Tribolium castaneum: one gene and its partners. The protein of the gene in region 4 purifies or fractionates together with the protein of the main gene of each other region. This does not show direct contact. Links are inferred from orthologs where the notes say so. Each region holds a gene or a part of one and is shown on either strand. Other genes may lie near its edges.

Region 1 (3,514 bases), on a different chromosome or scaffold from region 4:
CGCTTTGAGCGGCCTGTCGCGGAACTCGCTGGGTGGGGGGTATTCCAACGAATCCAAACTCGGGTAACATTCATCGTCTGATGATTCAACGTGTGTTTTATTCGTTTCGTTCGCAACTATCACGACCTCGTTTGTACTATTACTGGGGGAAGTTGAAGATCGCGACACGCATTGAGTATTGTCGATAATAACGGGCGGATGAGTCGTTACTACAGTCACCTGTAATCCGCCAAATGAAACAAACGACAAACGCACCTAAGCCAACTCACCTGACTGATATTCGACGCTAAACTGTTTGAGGGATCGGGAAGATCAGAGTTAATGGTGATAGTGGAAGTGTTTAGTTTGTTTCGTTCAGATTGTGACGAAACCACAACAAAGTTACTAACAGTGTCGTCAGATGTCGCACTGACTGTGACTCCCTCACTCGCTACGTCGCCTTCAGACTGCCGCTTCTTCAATTGTTTTTCTAATACTTCTTTAATATTATCGACGTTGTCTTTGTTTTCTTCGGGTTTTGCGGGTTCGCTACCTGGATGAACTGGACTAGAACTTGGCGGAGTTGCTGGAGGTGTGATGGGCGAAGATGGGGGCGTTGGTAGGTTGGGAATGGCGACAGGTGCAGCCGGGGCTGGAGGTTTCTCAGTCGACGAACTCGCTTGGGGTTGGATGGGAGGTGGGGGCGCTTTACCTTTATCCCGGGAGGTTTTCCTCTGGACTTCGTCTTTCTTCTCCAGCTGACAAATTTTATAAATTTTCTATTTTCGATTGATTGCGAACCACTTACCGGTTTTTTGTCGGCTTGGACATTGCTAGGCGTCGAAGCTGTCAAATCTTTAGCAGTTTCTTCTTCTACATTAATTACGGGAGATTCTAGGTCATTTACTGCAAATTTTCACAATCAATTTTTTGTTTTTATTTAGTCAAAATATCACAGTACCTTTATTGTCAACTTCGCTGCTCTTTACAGAAGTGGAGTCATCTTCTATATCCAGAGGAACATGAGAAGTGCGGTTGTCCTAAAATAATTTTTATTCAATTTTTCGTTTCAAAAACTACGTGTTTCTAACTAAAATCTAAGCGGAAAATAGCAAAAGCCAACTGATTTTCTCACCTGGGCCAACATGCCAGGCGAAGGAGGGCCCGGAGAGCCGCATGCATAACAAACAAGCCGTGATAACATAAATTAGAGGAAGTTTTGGGTTTACGTTTATTATTATCACCTCAAACTACCAAGAGAATAATTGTGACAAATGATTTTTTAACATAAATAGGAGTGGTACATAATTGGAAACTAAAAAAGCTTGCAATTTTTGTATAAAGCTTTAAAACCTAAATTTTAAAACAAAAAACTTTTCAATCGGTCACTGCTCTCGCAGCAATAAAGGCCACTTTATTATATGCAACTGTTTATCTTTAAATAATTTCTTACATAAATATTTGCACCAACTAAATTATTAACTTATTTTAATTTTTTTCCTAACATCCATAGTACGATTCTCGAGTTATTCAACCATCACACAGATTAAAAATTATAAACCATTTTCAAACTCTAGCAAAGACTGCCATGCACAATAGTACAAAAACAAAAATTTTGTTGATTAACTATCTTGTCAAATTATTTTATGTATTAGAGGTCACATTAAAGGTAACATATTTATTTGTTTTTGCTACAAGGAATGTCCTTCCGATTTTTTTATTGATACGCGACAGACATTTCTATTCTCCTAACACCACGTTGTTTGCTCACAAATATTATTTATCCGTTAATGTCCACAGACGTAAAAAAGGTATAGTATGTTTCAAAATCTTGAAAAAAAATCAAAAACCTTCTCAAATAATAGCATCCATTTTTTTTTCTTATTTTGTTGCTTTAATGAGGTTGACAATTACAAAAAAAATATAATTTATAGATTTGAGAGATGGTTGAATATTTGAAAGATGTAAAAAAAATAAAATTCTGTCTAAGATGCACCCGTGTGTAAACTTACCAATTCTCTGATAAAGCTCTTTGTGCTTGCGATGTTTCCTACCCCGCTAAGCATGAAATTATGTACAAAAGCTTAAGAACCGAGTGACAGTTACACCAACAGTGCAACCCGATAACCCCACAATCAGCCCCCATCCTTACCTCGGGATCATCATCTGTCAATTCCTCTTCAACAACCTCCGCCTTGTACTCCAACAACAAATCCCTGATCGGTTTCGAGTCCAGCGTACAATTAATAAACGGATGCTTCAACAACTCGTCACAGGTTGGTCTTTTTTGCGGATCCTTGACCAGACAATTTGACACGAAATCGTTAAACTCCTTCGACCACTTCGACGGTTGTTCCAATTTGGGCGGATCGGATTTTTGGATTTTGAGTAACACCCTCATGGGTGACATTTCGTGGTTGGGTGGCTCCATTTGGGCGAATTCAATGAGAGTTATGCCCATCGACCACACGTCCACTTTGAAATCGTACGGATTGTCGCGGAAAGTCTCACAAAGGACCACTTCGGGGGCCATCCAGTATGGCGTTCCGATGAACGTGTCGTGTTTTTGCATCGTGCTTTTATTTTTAGCGGAGACTCCGAAGTCGGCTGGCGGAACATAATCAGATGTTAATTGCCACCAACAGAGTAAACAATAATAAAGCGCAGACAGGCACTTTTTTCGCAAACTGACAAAAAAACTGCAAATTAAGGAACAAATTTTTCTGAATGAAGTCAAGAACTAGAAGTTTTAACGTTAGTTCTAAAAGATTATTTATAAACCATGTCATTTGCTCAACTAATATTGATTTGGCTATTTATCTTCAGTCTCAGTTTATTCATGATCAAAATGATTAAAGCCCATGAGAGTACAGTGTATTAATAATATGACCACTGATCTCAGTTATAAATACAGATTTTAGGTTTAAAAAAAGGAATTTGACGATTCGTGAGTCCTTTGTTTCGTAATTTGTTCAATGCATTCTTTCAACAAAAAAAAAATACTATCTGCTTAAGCAGGCTTTAACAACAGCCAAGTCTCTAACAATCGCACATTTAGTATTAACCTTTTGTTTACTACCGTTAACACGACTCTCAACTAACATTTTATATTTATTTTTTTATTTTTTACAAATCCAGGCCTTCATTTATTAAAATAGTGTCGCAAAACTGACCTATGACCTTGCTATTTATGTTTCAATTAACCTAATAAATTAACCTACAACAAGTCAATTCAAACTCTAAAAAAAGGAACTGACAAACGCCTTAACTAGTCAATCTTTCATGCCTAAAATAGCAGCATGATGTCGAAATAATTCGATTTTTTCCATTTCAACGACCATATCCTTCTCAGTTTCGGGGTATTACCTTTACTCAATATCCTGTGTTTGAGATTTATACGGAAATAACTTTAGTTTTTATGTTTTTGTAAGAATTTGAAACCTCAACAATTTATTTTTACAATTCATAGAAATTGGCAAATCGTGGTTTAAAACCAAGGTGGATTATTGCCATTTGTGGTGCTTCCGGACCTCCT
Region 2 (4,113 bases), on a different chromosome or scaffold from region 4:
TCGCATTTAACCGAATATTTTTTTTAAATAAGATTGATAAAAATAGTTATTAATGACAAGATCTTCCAATAAAACTAGAAAATATATAAGCTATTAATTCTTTGAAAAGCATAAATAATTTATAACAATTACTTCTAGAGAAAATCCGACGTTGGCATTTTTATAATTTCGAAACAGCTAATAATTACGCTAACATTTGATACTGTTCAAAATTTTTAAGACATGACTGTGAAGCACCCCAATGCCCATAGCTGACTTATTAACTATTAACTCAATTAATTAATAAAATATTTGATTTCGGCTGTATTTTTTGGAAACGAAATTTAGTACATTTTGAAACCAAAACATACATGTTCCATTGAAGCCCAGACTAGTGGCTCCCCTAACGCCCGTTTTTTGACACTGGCTGACTTATTAACTAATCATTTAAAATTAATATAAATTAAATAAATATTTGATTTCTTACCTTGCAACATTTGAAGTTCAGCTGAAAACTCATCAAGCTCCATCGCAATGTCTTTATTAGCCCCTCTCAGATCCTTTCGAATCGTAAAATCAAACGAAGTCGTCGGCTCCCCTAACAAATTCTCCAAATCCTGAACAATGTCATCAACATTTTCTGTAATTTTCTCCGTAGAAGTATCCGTAATATTCATATCGAGCAGGTCCTTATCGGACGCAATCGGCGATGGGTTACCACCCCCTGACATCTCCCTCACTAAATTAATAACTGGGTTCGCACTACTCGGGTGTTTCCCCGAATCCAAAGCATCCGAGGATGTGCTACTGATTGGATCGTCAGCAGCTGAACACAATTGAAGTAAGCGCAAGGAAAACTGGAAAAAACACTTACCAATGTGTGACGTTGAAGTGGTTGTAAATGCATCGGTGGAAGACGTTGGGGTTGAATCACAAGACTCACTTTTTTCGTCGGTATTCGATGACAGCAGGTTGCCCATTGTTGAGGTTAACTCGCTTTCGGTGGATTTTTCACTTTCCATTGTCACTTGCACGGGAAAATGGTGCTATTTGGTTGAAAACACACCGTTTATCACAGACAATTAATTACGGGTATAATTAAATGCGGCATTTTTGTTTACGGTTTTAAACGACAAACGCCATCACAAGTGGAAGCTTCGCCAGGAGTGCCAACGGCAACCGTCAGACGAAAATGGCCATTAATAAAATAATTATCAATTAATACAACACTTGTTTACAATTTTAATGCGTTAGCCATCCATTAGTTAAGTTAATAACATTGATTTTCGCAAAATTGGTCATTCTGTGGTGGTTGAAGGGCACCCAACACACGCGTAAAATTCCCCAGTCGAAATTTCACCCCAAACAGTTTGGCAATTAACGTTTGTAAAAACTCACAATTTTGTGTTATTTGGGCAAAAATGGCAGCGGCAATGGACGTGGATGTTGACGAGGTCGAAGTTCCCACTTCGAGCAGTTCCAAGGGTGAAAAGAAGCGTTTCGAAGTGAAAAAGGTAAGTTTGTGAGACATAACCTAACACTTGATGATTTTTCATTTTTATGAAGTGGAACGCCGTAGCGTTGTGGGCTTGGGGTACGCTGTGTCATTTTATTAGACACGTTGGTTTTAATTAAAATTTTAGATATCGTGGTCGATAATTGTGCCATTTGTCGCAATCATATTATGGATTTATGTATTGAGTGTCAGGCAAATCAGGCCTCAGCGACCAGTGAAGAGTGTACAGTTGCTTGGGGAGTGTGTAATGTGAGTAATTTGCTGTTTTTTGAGTTTTGGTTTTAGTGAATCTGGTTTTAGCACGCGTTTCATTTTCACTGTATTTCGAGGTGGTTGAAGACAAGGCAGGTGTGCCCACTAGATAATCGAGAATGGGAATTTCAAAAGTAAGTTTTTTTATTTTAAATGTTTTTCTAACGGGTTAATAGTCCCTTTGTTTTTACAACTTTTACAATACAGAGGGTTTAAATTTTTTATTGTTATACCATCTAGTGGTCAATTAACGATCTACTTTGTTGTGTGACATGGCGGGAAATTTGAATGTCACATTTCACAGTTTTTGTTATAGTAATTTCATAATAATACTTAAACACAGGCTGTCCCAACGATCCCAAAAAGCTCCATAATTTGTTTATTATTAAAGATATTGAGTTTTCCTTTTTTTTAGATACGGGTATGCATATAGAGGATGTTCCAATATAAAAAAACACTAAAGCTATGTTTTTTCAAATGAAACACCCTAAATTTTATTGCATTTTTGCTTAGTTTTTAAAATATTTTGATTTTTTTGACAAAAACACAAAAAATTATTACACAAAAAGGCAGAATCGTAGAATCCCACACGGGGAAAAGTTCAAACTTATAAATCTGTTCCAATTGTTTAGCGTATTACAATTAGAAACAGAAAAATTAAAGTTTATTAAAACTTGAAAAACTTAAATGGAACACTCTATTTTTTGTTATTGCTTCTCAAAAATTACTAAATTACTAAAAACATAAAGTTTCAACTTCCTAAAGTTACTAACTAAAAAGATATTTCACTTTAAACGTTAATTTCAACAACATATCACAACCATAGCAACTCCACCACAGACCACTTGTTGGAGATTATACGGGACTAAAAATTCTATAAGTATTGAAATTTTAATTATTTCACTGTTATAAATGACAAATAATGGCCTAAAAGTAACATTAAAGTTATTATTAGCAGAAAATTTCACTTTTTGACTACTGAAACAATAGGTAATAATTTTTTTATTGTTTAATGTTAAAAATCTTTTGAGTAATCACTAATTAGCGAAAGACCCAACTGTTAATCTTGTCAGAGAGACTATTTAAAGGTCTTTTAGATGCAAAAATAAAAATTGGGTGTTCCATTTAAAATTTTTAAGTTATTCAACTTGCAACAAACCTCTTCATTTTTTATCTTCTTGATTGCAGTAAGCTAATAAAAATAATACATCCTTGGAGTTTGAACTTTCTTTCTTTAAAGTGGTGAAAGTTCCTCTTTTCTGAGATTCTAAGTTTTTATGTAACGATTTTTTTAAAAAAGCGTGTTTTGGCAAAAAAATCCAGTTATTGTAAAAACAAAGCAAAATCGACCTATAACAATTTGAAAAGCTTGAAAACATCTGTGTTAAAAGCTACATCCAAAAATGCAAAAAATATAGGTTGTTCCATTTAAAAAAACAAGTTTGTATTGTATCTAATTTTAGAAACAGCCTGTATACTTGAAAATAATTTTAAGTGGTAGGTACTTTAACTTAAAAAACAGTATAATCGTCAACGTTAGTATTTGTCCTAAGAACGTATTTAAACAACTTAAATAACTTAAATAAAAATCAAAGTAATTTTACTAAAAACTGAATTAATATGTATTTGTTTTCTAACAATTGTTCAATTGTTGTAATATTAATTAATTATTTCGTTTGAATAAATAAACTGTTTCAAAACTATAAAAACGCCAACGTCGCCTGTTACTGAATTATTTTTTTAAACAAAATACATAGAATTTTTAAAATAGTTACTAATGATTAGATCTCTCATTGAAAGTATAAATTACATTAGGTACTATTTTTTAAAGTGCATGAATAATTTATAACAACTAATTTTGAGAAAAAATGCGATTTTGGCGTTTTTATACTTTCAAAATAGCTAATACATATACTGCATTTGCCAAATAACAACGAATAATGAGAAACGCTTTTGTAAAAGTTTTTTAGTTACCGGTATATTGACTTGTTCTCTACAGAAATACATCATCCGATAAATTTCAGAAAAACTCAAACAGTAGTTTACGAAAAAAATCGAAGAAAACAATTTTTAAGAAACTGTAGAAAGTGAAAATAAACTGAAACATGTGATGGTGGTGTAAATTACTTTGATTTTTTTTATTTTATTTTTTATTCTAAGAAAGTACTGATGATGTATTTTTTGCAGGTATGGGCATTGATCGTTATGTTATCAGTAGCATAATACGGTTTTCGGTATTTGATTCTCACCATTTTTTTTCGTAAACTCAACATGTTATAACGGAAATTTAGTTTTTGTATAATCCAGGTCTTGAAATTTTTTGTTACATTTTGTATTTCAATAAATTATTATTCAATTCATACTGT
Region 3 (3,710 bases), on a different chromosome or scaffold from region 4:
AGCTTTATTATTATTATTATTATTTAATTAGAAAAGTAAAACCTTACGTTACTCCATTGGTATCCTTAAAAATGTAGGTCCAGTGTTGCCAACAGACTCAGTATTTCTGGATCAGTCTGTACATCTATTTACGTAATACCTTAATTCATTAATTAAATTAATTACAATTATTAATTTACACTAAAATATAGTTCATGTTACAAAAGTAAAAGCACGAAATCATGCTTTCAAGCAGATGAAACCTCAGAAAGAATGTTTATTGACGTTTTGAGCCCAGAGTCTGAGTTGGGCCCTTTGCTATCAGTCGGGGTTTATAGGGGTGACATTCTTTATGGCAGTGAGTGTACAATTTTCCGAAGTTGTAGTGAACTAATGAATTGTTTTTTTTTGTTTCAGTTGAGGTATTTACAAACACTGAGCAATATTTCAGCTGAGAAAAACTCAACGATTGTTTTCCCCATTCCGATAGAGCTTTTTAGTCATTTTAAAAGAGGCAACTAATTGTAGTTTTGTATTCTTTAATTTGGTGTTACAAAATCAAAAATAAAAAGTGATTCCAGGCAAAAAAATAATACTTAAAAATACATTTACATGAATAAAAAAAATGTGTTTTTGCGCTTATTATTGAATGATAAAAATTTATCGACTAGTGACGACATCTGGCGGCATGTGCCCGCTATCGCCCAAACACCTTAAGACCACGCGCCCACTTGGAGTAATACTAATCCAAGTAATACTAGCATGGTTCAAAGACATCCTCAACCATGCCTCGGCTGGTAATTGCAGTGCCCTAAATTACCAACCCAATTAATTCAAATTCAAATCAACTCAATTTAAAGGGGAATTACCTGCACACAAAATACCGAATCACATTAGCATGACACACTAAAACAGTATACGAGTCTTCCTTTTGTTGGGGCGCAGCCCTATGGAAATATCTACGAAAAGCGGCCTCAATTCGTGCCCCATCAACGAAAAACTTCTAACAAAAGTAATTAAATCGAGCCAAAAACCACTAGTGGTGTTACTTACATACATTTCTTGCTTCCATGACCCGATCGGGGGCTCCGGAGGTATGGGGGCCCCTTCACGCAACAAATCGCAGTTTTTAACCGGAACGTCGGGGAGAGAAACTGAGATAATTGAACCAGTCTCTTGCGCACGAGACATTGTCGATTTGATTATTTTTGTATACGGTAGACCCAACTCTTTGAGCCTTTTCCCCGTATATTCAGCTTGAATTTTCCCTAGTTTTGTTAAAGTCCGGTCTTCGTCCGTTTGGCCATTAACATTGTATTGACCATGACGTATCAGAATCAAATGTCGGACTGACTTAGCTTTATTTAATTCAATTTCGCTATGAATCTGATTGTTATTCTCATCTTTGGAGTATTTCGGGTGTGATAAAAATTTCGGCGAGCGACTACAATTGACTATTAGCTAAAAAATTACCGGGTTTGTGTCACGATTACTGGTCCCAATTATCGTCCCATCTGGCATGTGGCGAAGGCTCGTAATTCGACGTCCAAGAAGCGTAAACTGTCTTATTTGAACCGTTCAAAAAGTAGTAAGTTGCGGCCCCCGAAGCCGCACACACACCCAGAAACAGCTTGTTCATCTTCGAAAATGGGCGCATGTTGGATGAATTGTAGAAAATTCAATGTTTGTTTACGGTTTAAGTGATAATTCTTATCGGGAAATGTGAAGCTCAATTTGCAAAGTGAGGTTAAAGCTGTCACAGTGACAGTTACAAGCCATTCACAGGGTGGTGAAACCTAAATGCACCAAGCCAAGTATAGGCGCCAAATTCAAAATCGACTGTAGTTCGGCTTGCTATCGCAGATGTCGCACACACGTATAGTCAATTTTAGCGAAGCTACCTATAATATCGGCAGAAATTAACAGTGGACCTGTGACAGTTGCCATTGTGTAAATCGCCATTTTGTGCTTGGTTTGTTTGGTGTTCGCCTTCGGCTTTGTTTTATGTGAAATTAGTACTGTTTTGTGGTTTTTTTCGTGTGTGTGCTTTTTTGAACTTTTTTATTGTGGGAATATAAATAATTTGATGGATCAATCATTAGTTTATAGTTATCGTATCGTGTATATTGACTAGTGATAATAAATTTTTATTACAAGTTTATTGTCTTTATTTATTCTCATATTTTATTTTTCGTATTCTTTGTAAATATTCAGCAACAATAGTTGTCTAACATCAGAAAGTGTTATTAGCAACTATTGTTGTGAATATTTACAAACAATACGAAAAATGCAATCAAACTTTAAAAGAAAAGTAACTACGGGCAATTCAAATCGCCCGCCGATAACGCTTAGTACGCGCTGGCAACAATAGATGTGCTAGTGACACTTTCGCTCTATCGGGACAAGGACAGATGCGTTTCTGTAAAACCTGTTATTCTGTGGCCATTCAGTACACATAGCAGTGGAAATAGCACTAAAAATGATGTTGGTACCATGAAAATTACAGTCGACCAGACAATCGCTGTGCGCATGGAGCCTCCTTTATATCCTGCAATTTTTTTATTTTTGCAGGAGATTAAATCCTTCGATTTACGGTCAAAGGCCTTATCAAAGGGCTTAATCTCCAGCAAAAATAAAGAAAATTGCAAGATATAAAGTAGTTAAAAAAAAAAAAAGTTGCGCGCAGCGATTATCTGGTCGACTGTAATGTTAATGGTGCCAGCACCTGTCTCCACCGACATTCAGTACACCAACTTAGGACCAAAAAAAATTAAATAGGAGTAATTTATATTTTATAGTCAGAGGGTAGTTTGGATTATTATTCACACAAATCCTATGTACCAAGTTTGGGTGCAATGTGGCGTAAAACGATTTTTTGTGCTAAAAACCGGCGTCCGGTTTACTGAAATCAGTCGATTTTTTGACGTTTGACATTTTTTCGACTTGGATTTAATTGTGAAATAATCACAAAACTCAAAAAGAACGGTAACTAAAAGCTTGTGTAGTTCAATCTCTGTTCACTAAGCTTGTTTTTAGTCATTACTTCAAGTCAAATCAATTGATTATGTCGTCATAAAACTCGTCCGTTAAATCTAACCTCAAGATGTACCCCTCTCGTTCCTATATTTGGTTTTTGGGGCCCCAGTTACGTAAATTCCACACCTCCTTTTTCCTCCGATCTACTAAAGGTAAAAGCCATTACGACTCTCTTGGAATTTCCTCAAAAGCAACGCAAGCTGACGTCAAATCCGCTTATTACAAACTTTCAAAAGTTTACCATCCTGATCGAAATAAAGACAGCGACGACGCCGCACAGAAATTTCGCGACATCACCGAAGCCTACGAAGTGTTAGGGAACGTGAAATCACGCAAACTTTATGACAGAGGTACTTTTGAAAAATTTTAAATAAATTTCTATTAATAACATTTGAAGGTTTATACTTTGAGGGGGTAACATCAGGGGTTGTACGAGACGACCCACCGTTGAACAAGTTTTACAAGTCGAGGGACACACAATCAAGGCCTCCCTCAGAATATGGGAGGACCACAGTTTATGATTTTGATGAATGGTCAAAGGCGCATTATGGGGCCACTTTTCAGAACACTCTGAGATTCAAGGCGAGGGAAAAAATGAAAATGAAACGAGAAAAAGAATTAGCCGAACATGTGAAAACGGAAAAATTGGTTTTAATGACTGTTCTTTTTGCAATTATGGCGGCTTATGTCTTTTA
Region 4 (4,223 bases):
GGGAATAGACCACTATTTTCAATCAGGGGCAGTTTCTTAAGTGAAAAATCCTGTATGCACAGACTTGGAGAAAATGGTTTATTGGTCGAAAATTTTTTACTCCCAATTATTTAGTCTTTGATGGTACCTAAAATGCCGCTATCAATATGTCATTTACGTTTACATCATCACACAGATAACACTAGTTAATTTAATTTGTATGTAAACATGTACACACAGAGAAATAATTTTCAAAATGACTAAAAGGAAAAATAAAAAACATTGCTTTGGTACTAAATCAAAACCAAGTTTGCGAGAACTTGAAAACTATAACAGCTCCTATGTTCTGATTCTTTGCTCTGATCTTAGCATTAAAAAATTTTTTTTTGAACATATTGGATCTACAGGCTGCTTCAAAAACCAATGCACCAACTCTGTTGTTGTTGAAAAGCATGTGTGGATTACGGGAAAAATCTTGAAAATATTACTAAAGTCATATTTTCAAAAATTTGGAGCGACAAACTTATTTTATTAACTTCTTCAGTTTTCATTATTTTTAATCGTTTTATGTTTCGCACTACGTAATCGTTCCCTAACACAATGGTGAATAATTATTTTTAAGTTTATTATCAGACTTTAGCAGTTTTTTTGTTAAAAAAAAATAAAATTCAATAAAAAATCGCAAACACTTGGTACTATTTTCTAGGAAACAACTTAAAAAATATTTCATTTTTATTTTTGATCAAATTCAATTACGATCACATTGATTCGTTATTTATCAGTAACTTTTATACATAGATTTTTTTACAATTTTACTTTTTATACAGGGTGACCCCCCTGTCAGAATACCTTGTAGATTTAAGAAATAGTCGACTTTTACTTGAAATGTACAGGGTGTGCCATTACATGTATCGATAGTATGTTTCATAGGCTTTCTAATGATATGCGGTTTGTTTACCAAATTTACAATATTTCTTAAAGTGTTCAAAAGAGTAAAAAAATATGTTTTATTTATTTTGTTAATAATTCTTGATGAATGAAATTCATTTATGTATTAGGTAATAATTAGATTACTAATGTAATTAGTCACATCAGTACATATCAAAAATGTACCATTTGACTATCAGATTCTAAGCATATTTTCTTGTAATAAAATACATATATTTTTTAAATCTCGAAAAATATTTTATATTTGCTATGCAAACTCTATTTCATTAGAAAGCTCATTCGAAATACTATCGATACATAAAAAAATCATGGTGTTCTAGCATTTCTCTACGACACACCATTGAGTTGATGCGCCGGTTTTTGAGCAACCTGTATTATTTACTTAAAATCAAAAGTTCCACTTTTGAAATGAAAAGACTGAACTATATTATGCAGAAAATCAGAAAAAGATCTGTGGTAAGGAGAGTATTAAGAAAAATCTTACTAACGTGAGATCGAAAATATTTTCGATCTCATATTAGAGCAAACCTTGAAAGTGAAGTATAACTTTAGTCATATCATATGCTGTGTAAAACCAGCATAAGACAACATAATCTCAAAAGTGCGGCGACCATAAATACTAGGTGTTTACGGTCTAGAAGTCGAAACTTTACCTGGTGCTAAAAGGGTGTAGAAATAAGGTTTAATTCTGTGTTAAATTGGACTCTAGTGACCAATTTAGTTTTGAAACAGATATTACAAAAATAAAATTTGAAAACAAGAAACAGGTATCGAATTTTTATTTATTAACTGAAAAAATAAAAATTATTTTAAAAAAGCAATTGTATCTAAAGTCTAAAGTGAAAAATTTAAATAATAATAAAGATAAGAAATGATTGTAAAGCAAAGTTATCTTCTAAAATATTGCTATTATGCACCTTTCATACTTTCAAAATGTTAATAAATTAAAAAATAGTTGTTTTTGAGTTCAAAATTTGTTAGTAATCCAAAGTTGGATTCTGATGGCTAATAAGACACATTCTGCTATTTTGGTGACTATAATTTTCAACGAAAATTTTAAAATATGTATCTTAAAAGAGTCCTGTAGAATATCGTTTCAAATACTTGTAAGTTACAAGTAAAATAACACAAGCTATACGAGTACGTACATAATTGAATGATTTCTATTACCTATCAACGCTAAACTCTAATATGTATTTTATTAATCATTAAAAAGTTGCTAGGTCTAATATCTCAATACTGCAAATTATATTATTAGTATTACTAATTTATTACAAATAAATCATAAATATTTTTTCGTGACAATTGATAACGAAGTCAAAAAGTTGATGATCTCCACACTCACTCGTGGCGCGATCATACTTTTCTGGTTACCACAAAGATAACAACACATTACCGGCCCACATCTTAGCCAAACAAATGATCAGTTAATTATGCATAAATTGTCGTTTTATTGCTCGTGCAATTAAGATCTTCATACGACAAACATTCGTCAGCAAAAACTATTACTGGATTTTTCAAATAGAATGTTTCAAAGAATTGACTCAGGAAAACATTTCTCGCCAAAGACACAAGAAACAAAAAATCAATTTATAACACCAGAAGAAGGGATTAATTAGTGTCCGGTTACCGACACTGTTAAAACCAACAAACAACAAATTAGAGTATCATTATTTGTGATTGCATGTTCAGCCTTGAAACATACAAAATAAATTCCAGTATCAACTAAATGACTTGCAATCTTACTCTAAATCTGCCGGCCAACCACTATCGCTGGGAGAAATCATTTTTTTTATCTACACATTACGCACTAATATATCACAGCTCGAACAATGGTCCTCCATGCTCCACCGTTACTCCACAACTGAACATGATGGATAATAAATTTAATCAAAAACTTTTATCTATTGAATATATCAAGAAACTTGTTTTGTTATTTTCTGATTTGCAACAGCGAATGACATGATGACTTTTAAAAGCCGCCGGTTACAAACCTTAACGTAGGTCAAGACAAGAATGCGTGAGAAGTTTACATTGCACGCTAACAGTGGTCATTTTTATGCATTAAAAATTATTTACGTTGTTTCTAATTAAAACACACCTGATAAGATGGGAAAATGTGATTATTATTTATTACAACAACGTCAGAATGACTAGAAAAAATGGAGTGGTTAATAACCTTAACAGATTTTTGGCAGGACCCAACTGAAATTTACTTCCTGCAACAGCCTGTAATTCTCATTTTTAAAAATAGATTTCAGTCACATCATTTTTTATTATACAGATTTTTAAGATAAAAGACAATGCATTGTTTCGATAAGTATTTTCCTGGAATGTCAGGAAAACGAAAATACCAAATACTTTTGCAAGTACAGAAACATCACCATATGTAAAGCTAAAATTGTCTAAATAGTTACAGAAGATAGAAAAATTGGCAAATTTCTTAGTCTACATCGATGATGAAAAATTCATATTAAAATTATTGCTAATTAATTGATAAAAAATAATTCGATAACCAATAAATAGCTACACAAAATCACCATGTTTATAGGCGATTGAAATCAAGTTGAATTACTAATTCCTAGTGAGAATTTAGGTCATAATATTAGATCGACAAAATCTCGATGGCTATGCGAAGAAATAACAGATGATAAAAAAGAGTGTCTAAATTGGCTACAATATTTTTTTTTATCTTAAAAGTGCCTTCCGGTTGTCGACAGATTAATACTTGACACTTGTAATTATTATAAAAAGGAAACAACTTTCGTCAACTATTTATCAATAAAAATCATTTTCGATTACAGTACTGGAAACAGTCACTTTTGTTCACCCGGTATTTTATACAATGTGTTCAAAAATGGTTGTTCATCAAGCCACCAATGAAATTTGAACGTAATGTGCCGCTTAATTTAAATTGTGAATGCCGTCAAAGTGACAGAGCCGTCAAAATAATGCAAAAGACCTCGAACTCAAAAACGAAAAAATACAAAACATCAAAAATCCCGGAAATAAACTTTGCTGAAAAATGCAAAAAGTGAGTAAAAGTTTAATTCAAGATTTCACAGAGAAATCACAATAGTCATTGGGAAGAAGCGGCACAATGAACTTGAATTCCATAGTCAACTTGATAAACAACCATTTTTAAACACTGTACTTAAAAAAATACATTCTTTACCGAAATTAAAATTTTGTAGACAAACATTTTAACTATTTCATTTTTCTCTCAGTCTGTCTACGTCAAAAAAAATAAATTTTAGCAGTGTTAAATTATTTGTCATCCACTGATACCAACCTCA
Region 5 (4,108 bases), on a different chromosome or scaffold from region 4:
AAATCATCGCGTTGTTTTTGTGTACAGTGACACTTTTCCCACCATTCTTCGAGCTCATCTCGTTGCTTTAAAATGAAACTCTGAAGCTTGGCCTTTTTCATCGCCTTCAACCTATTCAACTCCTCTTTAAGCGCCTCCAGCGTCTTCAACGAGTGCCCCACGTGTCTCGCCCGGAAATCATCACGCTCCACCAAATCAACCTCCAATTTTTTCCACAAATCGTCGATCCTGCTCCTCAACTCTTCAACCTCCTCGGTCACGTCAGCGAGGCGCTTGACCAACTGGTCGTGGAACTGCCGCAACTGCTCCATTTCTGCGTCGGTTATGCGCACTTGGGTATTGGACAAATTCAAAATATCCTTCTCGAACTCTAGATTAGGGCACATCTCTAGTTCGGAGACGACAATCTCGACGATTTTTTCCTTCAGTTGGAAGAAAACCTCCTCCCGTTCCATCGCCTCCGTCTCCAGGTTCTCGACATAGGCCTTCAACTCCTCCAGCTCGGGGGGCAACGGGAGGGGGGCCCGCCCCAGACAGGCACACAGTTTGAGCTCTTTCTGCTGCAACTCGCTAAACTCCCGTCGGCGAATCTGGGCCAAAGCCTCGAATTCGTCCACCTTTTGGACGATTTGGAGGCGCACCTCACTCAGAGGAACCCCTTCGTAGTTGAAAGTGGGGATTGGGACGTGGAGGTCGCGACAGAGATTTTCGAGTTTCTCTAACAGTTTCATTATTTTATCGATAACGAATTTTTTAAATTTTTATGAAGTTTCTTTATTTTTCAATTTTTTTTACCTACCTTATATCTTGCAATTTTCTTTATTTCTGCAGTAACTTAAGCCCTCTAATAAGGCCTTCGACTGTAAAAAAATCATGTTCGGACAAACACCTCTTGCGACCTTAACGAATTTTTTTAATTTTTATAAAGTTACTCTATTTTGCAAACTTTATTTTTTTAAAGATTTTTTAAAGTTTCCCAACCAAGAGGTGTTTGTCCGAACATGATTTTTTTACAGTCAAATGCCCTATCGAAGGGCTTAATCTCCTGTAAAAATAAAGAAAATTGCAGGATATAAAGGGAGTGAAAAAATCAGTTTGCATTGCTTGGACATGAGAATAAAAAATGCAGAAATGAAATGCAGTTAAGTTTTAATTTCTAATAGAAACACATTAGATTGGTCAGGAGATGTTCTACACATGTGATATGGTCAGTGTAACAGCTTATTGATGTTTTTATAAAGATTTACAATTATTTTAATAATTTTTCCTGGTGTGAACTTGGCTGTAGAAAACGAGAATGGTGGAGAAATGGTCGACTGTAATGTTCATGGTGTCAGTGCTGCCCTCACCGACATTTGTTGACTTGTCATTTACCAATAATAATAATAATATGAAAATAATTGAATAATCCTTAATAATGTGCGAGAAGACAAAAGTGCAAACATTCATCTTGACTCAGAACGAGTTCGGCCAGAAAGTCTACAAGTCACAGTCGGACAAGTCGAAGAGGTGAAGTTGCTTTTTAGAGTGGCCCCACCTAACCTCACTTTCAGTTTTGTGATTGACGATGAGGGCAATATGGTGCAGTACCAGCCCCCTGGGTCGTTTCGTAGCGTCAAATTGGAGTCAGCGGGTGACGATTTCGACGAAATCACAACTGATGACGATTCGGTTCATTTGGGAATGATCAATTCACTTGAAAGTGCGAGCGATTTCGACGACCATTTGATGCAAGAATTGGACTCGGATTTGATGAACGTCGAGGACACACACTCGAGTCTCATAATGCAACATATGGACATACAGGAGCCGCTCCTCAAACTGCGCCAGTTGCTGGAGCAAAGGCTCGGCTTGAGCCTCGCCGATTATTCGTTCTATTTGCAGGGGACACAAATGGTGTGTGTTAACTGTGTGAGTTTTGTACCACTAGTTAGAAGGTTTTAGCTGGAAAATGACAAAAATCTCGTGGAACAGTGTGTGCAAGGCCAAGGTTTGGTCCAAATCAATGTCCAGTTACAAGCGAATTTGAAACGAATTAATATTTTGGACGTCCTTAAGCCAGCAGAAGACTATATTCACGTCGGTTAGTTACTGAAAAATTGTAATAAAACGACTGTAGGACCAACTTCTTTAAAAGGTTTGCGAGTTGCAACGTTTCGTTTATATAATAAACAGCATCAGGCTAAAAAACATACATATTAAAGATACAATATAAACACAATTAAATACTGACCTTTTTACTTCTTTAAATTTTTGGAAGTGATTATTAATAGATGGAATTAATTTTAGTAACACTGTTTTATAACCTTTCAAAATTTCTAGCCAATATTTTACAACCAATTAGTTCTATTTTTTCATACAACGTGACCCAAGGGTATGTAAGTCAGCCCATAACTTTTTTGCCATTTGAAACATTCCCATACAGTTTTCATTATCTGATAGATTGTCATAAAAATATTTACATTATACACAGGGTGGTGAGCCAAAGTTATATATTTTCTAAATGGAACACTCTACATAAACTATCATCTTTATGTAAACTATTATTATTCGTTTCGGAATTATTCAACTTTTCGTTATAAAAAAGACCAACATTTGAAAAATGACTGTGAAGTCGCTTATGAATGTTTTCCGATAAATTTGGAGTAGAAAAACTTAAAATACCTTGTAGTTTTAGCAAATAGTCGACTTTTACTTGAAACACGCAGCTAATGTACAGGTGTGCCAAAACGCAAAAAGTTAAATAACTCATTTTTTCAAATTGAACATCTTGTATTTTTTTCATGTAGCGATTGAATTTTTAATAAGCTTTCTAGTGGTATACGGTTTGCATAGCAAATCTAAAATATTTTCTGAGATCTTTCAGAAAAGTATATTTTATTACAAGAAAATTTGTTAGCCTAAAATCAAAATCAAATGGTAATTAAAATTAGGGCAAAGTTTCGTATTTTTATACTGAACAATTATCTTACAAGAAATCTAAATATTAAATCTTGTCTTTAGCAAACTAAAATCAAAAACTTCTAAAATGTCTTACTTCCGAAATGATTTAATCTAAAAAAAAATAAAAATATTATTCTTAATTTCAAATCACGTACTGATAAATTTAGTAAAATTTACATGAAAAAGTAATGATAATAACACATAATTTTCATCATTTTTTAACATGTTTTGTCTCTTTTTTTTAATAGTATTGTGATTAGGATTTTAATTATAATCTTTTTGACGTTAATTATATTTAATTTTAACGTCAGTATTTTGGTTATTTAATAATAATTGCAAGTAAAGTATCAATTTTTAAAAGTTATTTTTGTTTACATTAAAAATGTAATGGTTCTTTTTGAAATTTTATTTCAAACTAATTAAAAAAATATTTTCAGAAAATAATATTAATGTTTTTTCAATTTTTTTTAAATAATAACACGTTCCACTCATTCCTACGTATTTTTTTTAACTAAGATCTTTTTAGTTGGTGTCAAAAGACAGTGCTTGTTATTGTAAGCCTCATTTTTGTTAATCTTTTAAATTAATTCAAAATTCATTCAGATTAATTCTATCTTCTAACGTTCACTTCCAAGAATGGTTAGTAATTAATTTTGGTTATATTGTATTTTTAATATGTATGTTTTTTAGTCTGATGAATGTTGCAACTTGTCTTTATTTAAAACCTTTTAAGGAGGGTGAAATTTTATTACGGTCGGTTAATTATTGTAAAATTTTCGCCAAAACTGTTATTTCAGATGAGTTGAATCAAAGTGAGCGGTGCCAAGCCCCGCCCCCGAAAGCCGTCGTCCAATGGCAGGTCGATCTGGCCTACAAGCGTGAACAAGACCGCCTTAAAATCCCTCACGATCCAATGGAATGGTCACAAGTGCACGTCCGTCATTGGGTGCAATGGGCGGTCCGTCAATTCAACTTGCCTAGCATTAAATTATCTGATTGGTCAATGACGGGGCGTGAATTATACAATTTGACCGTCAGCGATTTCCAGAAAATTGTTCCATACGATCCTGGTGACATCTTCTGGACGCATCTTGAATTGCTACGAAAAATGAAAGTCGTTGCGACAAAAAAAGAAGACCGTGAGGAACCACATGTCATGAAACAA

The links.
Region 1: the proteins of Keap1 (region 4) and Slik purify together in Homo sapiens (affinity purification with western blotting; 3 studies listed by BioGRID and IntAct, with this or other methods). This does not show direct contact. The link is inferred for Tribolium castaneum from reciprocal best matches to the Homo sapiens genes KEAP1 and SLK.
Region 2: the proteins of Keap1 (region 4) and Roc1a purify together in Homo sapiens (affinity purification with western blotting; 6 studies listed by BioGRID). This does not show direct contact. The link is inferred for Tribolium castaneum from reciprocal best matches to the Homo sapiens genes KEAP1 and RBX1.
Region 3: the proteins of Keap1 (region 4) and serine/threonine-protein phosphatase Pgam5, mitochondrial purify together in Homo sapiens (affinity purification with western blotting; 6 studies listed by BioGRID and IntAct, with this or other methods). This does not show direct contact. The link is inferred for Tribolium castaneum from reciprocal best matches to the Homo sapiens genes KEAP1 and PGAM5.
Region 5: the proteins of Keap1 (region 4) and Ets97D purify together in Homo sapiens (affinity purification with western blotting; 3 studies listed by BioGRID). This does not show direct contact. The link is inferred for Tribolium castaneum from reciprocal best matches to the Homo sapiens genes KEAP1 and GABPA.

Annotation. Positions count from the first base shown.
Region 1 is NC_087397.1:2,857,085-2,860,598, reverse strand, and holds part of Slik (STE20-like serine/threonine-protein kinase), read right to left. Parts: intron 2,587-3,514; coding exon 2,132-2,586; intron 1,020-2,131; coding exon 941-1,019; intron 886-940; coding exon 788-885; intron 738-787; coding exon 270-737; intron 220-269; coding exon 1-219. UniProt on the Homo sapiens protein: Mediates apoptosis and actin stress fiber dissolution.
Region 2 is NC_087402.1:12,066,277-12,070,389, reverse strand, and holds Roc1a (RING-box protein 1A), read left to right. Parts: upstream 1-1,304; 5' UTR 1,305-1,400; coding exon 1,401-1,493; intron 1,494-1,545; coding exon 1,546-1,573; intron 1,574-1,622; coding exon 1,623-1,744; intron 1,745-1,795; coding exon 1,796-1,881; intron 1,882-3,934; coding exon 3,935-3,947; 3' UTR 3,948-4,107; downstream 4,108-4,113. Other genes in the region: e(y)3 (titin), read right to left, coding at 467-805, 854-1,001. UniProt on the Homo sapiens protein: E3 ubiquitin ligase component of multiple cullin-RING-based E3 ubiquitin-protein ligase (CRLs) complexes which mediate the ubiquitination and subsequent proteasomal degradation of target proteins, including proteins involved in cell cycle progression, signal transduction, transcription and transcription-coupled nucleotide excision repair.
Region 3 is NC_087401.1:11,765,541-11,769,250, reverse strand, and holds serine/threonine-protein phosphatase Pgam5, mitochondrial, read right to left. Parts: upstream 2,394-3,710; 5' UTR 1,637-2,393; coding exon 1,473-1,636; intron 1,424-1,472; coding exon 1,033-1,423; intron 983-1,032; coding exon 849-982; intron 791-848; coding exon 640-790; 3' UTR 502-639; downstream 1-501. Other genes in the region: stomatin, read left to right, coding at 397-501; dnaJ homolog subfamily C member 30, mitochondrial, read left to right, coding at 3,083-3,365, 3,413-3,710. UniProt on the Homo sapiens protein: Mitochondrial serine/threonine phosphatase that dephosphorylates various substrates and thus plays a role in different biological processes including cellular senescence or mitophagy. Modulates cellular senescence by regulating mitochondrial dynamics.
Region 4 is NC_087395.1:20,688,631-20,692,853, reverse strand, and holds the start of Keap1 (kelch-like ECH-associated protein 1B), read right to left. Parts: upstream 2,813-4,223; 5' UTR 2,715-2,812; coding exon 2,674-2,714; intron 1-2,673. UniProt on the Homo sapiens protein: Substrate-specific adapter of a BCR (BTB-CUL3-RBX1) E3 ubiquitin ligase complex that regulates the response to oxidative stress by targeting NFE2L2/NRF2 for ubiquitination.
Region 5 is NC_087401.1:9,468,949-9,473,056, forward strand, and holds the start of Ets97D (DNA-binding protein Ets97D), read left to right. Parts: upstream 1-1,302; 5' UTR 1,303-1,417; coding exon 1,418-1,509; intron 1,510-1,553; coding exon 1,554-1,896; intron 1,897-1,944; coding exon 1,945-2,083; intron 2,084-3,740; coding exon 3,741-4,108. Other genes in the region: protein regulator of cytokinesis 1, read right to left, coding at 1-731.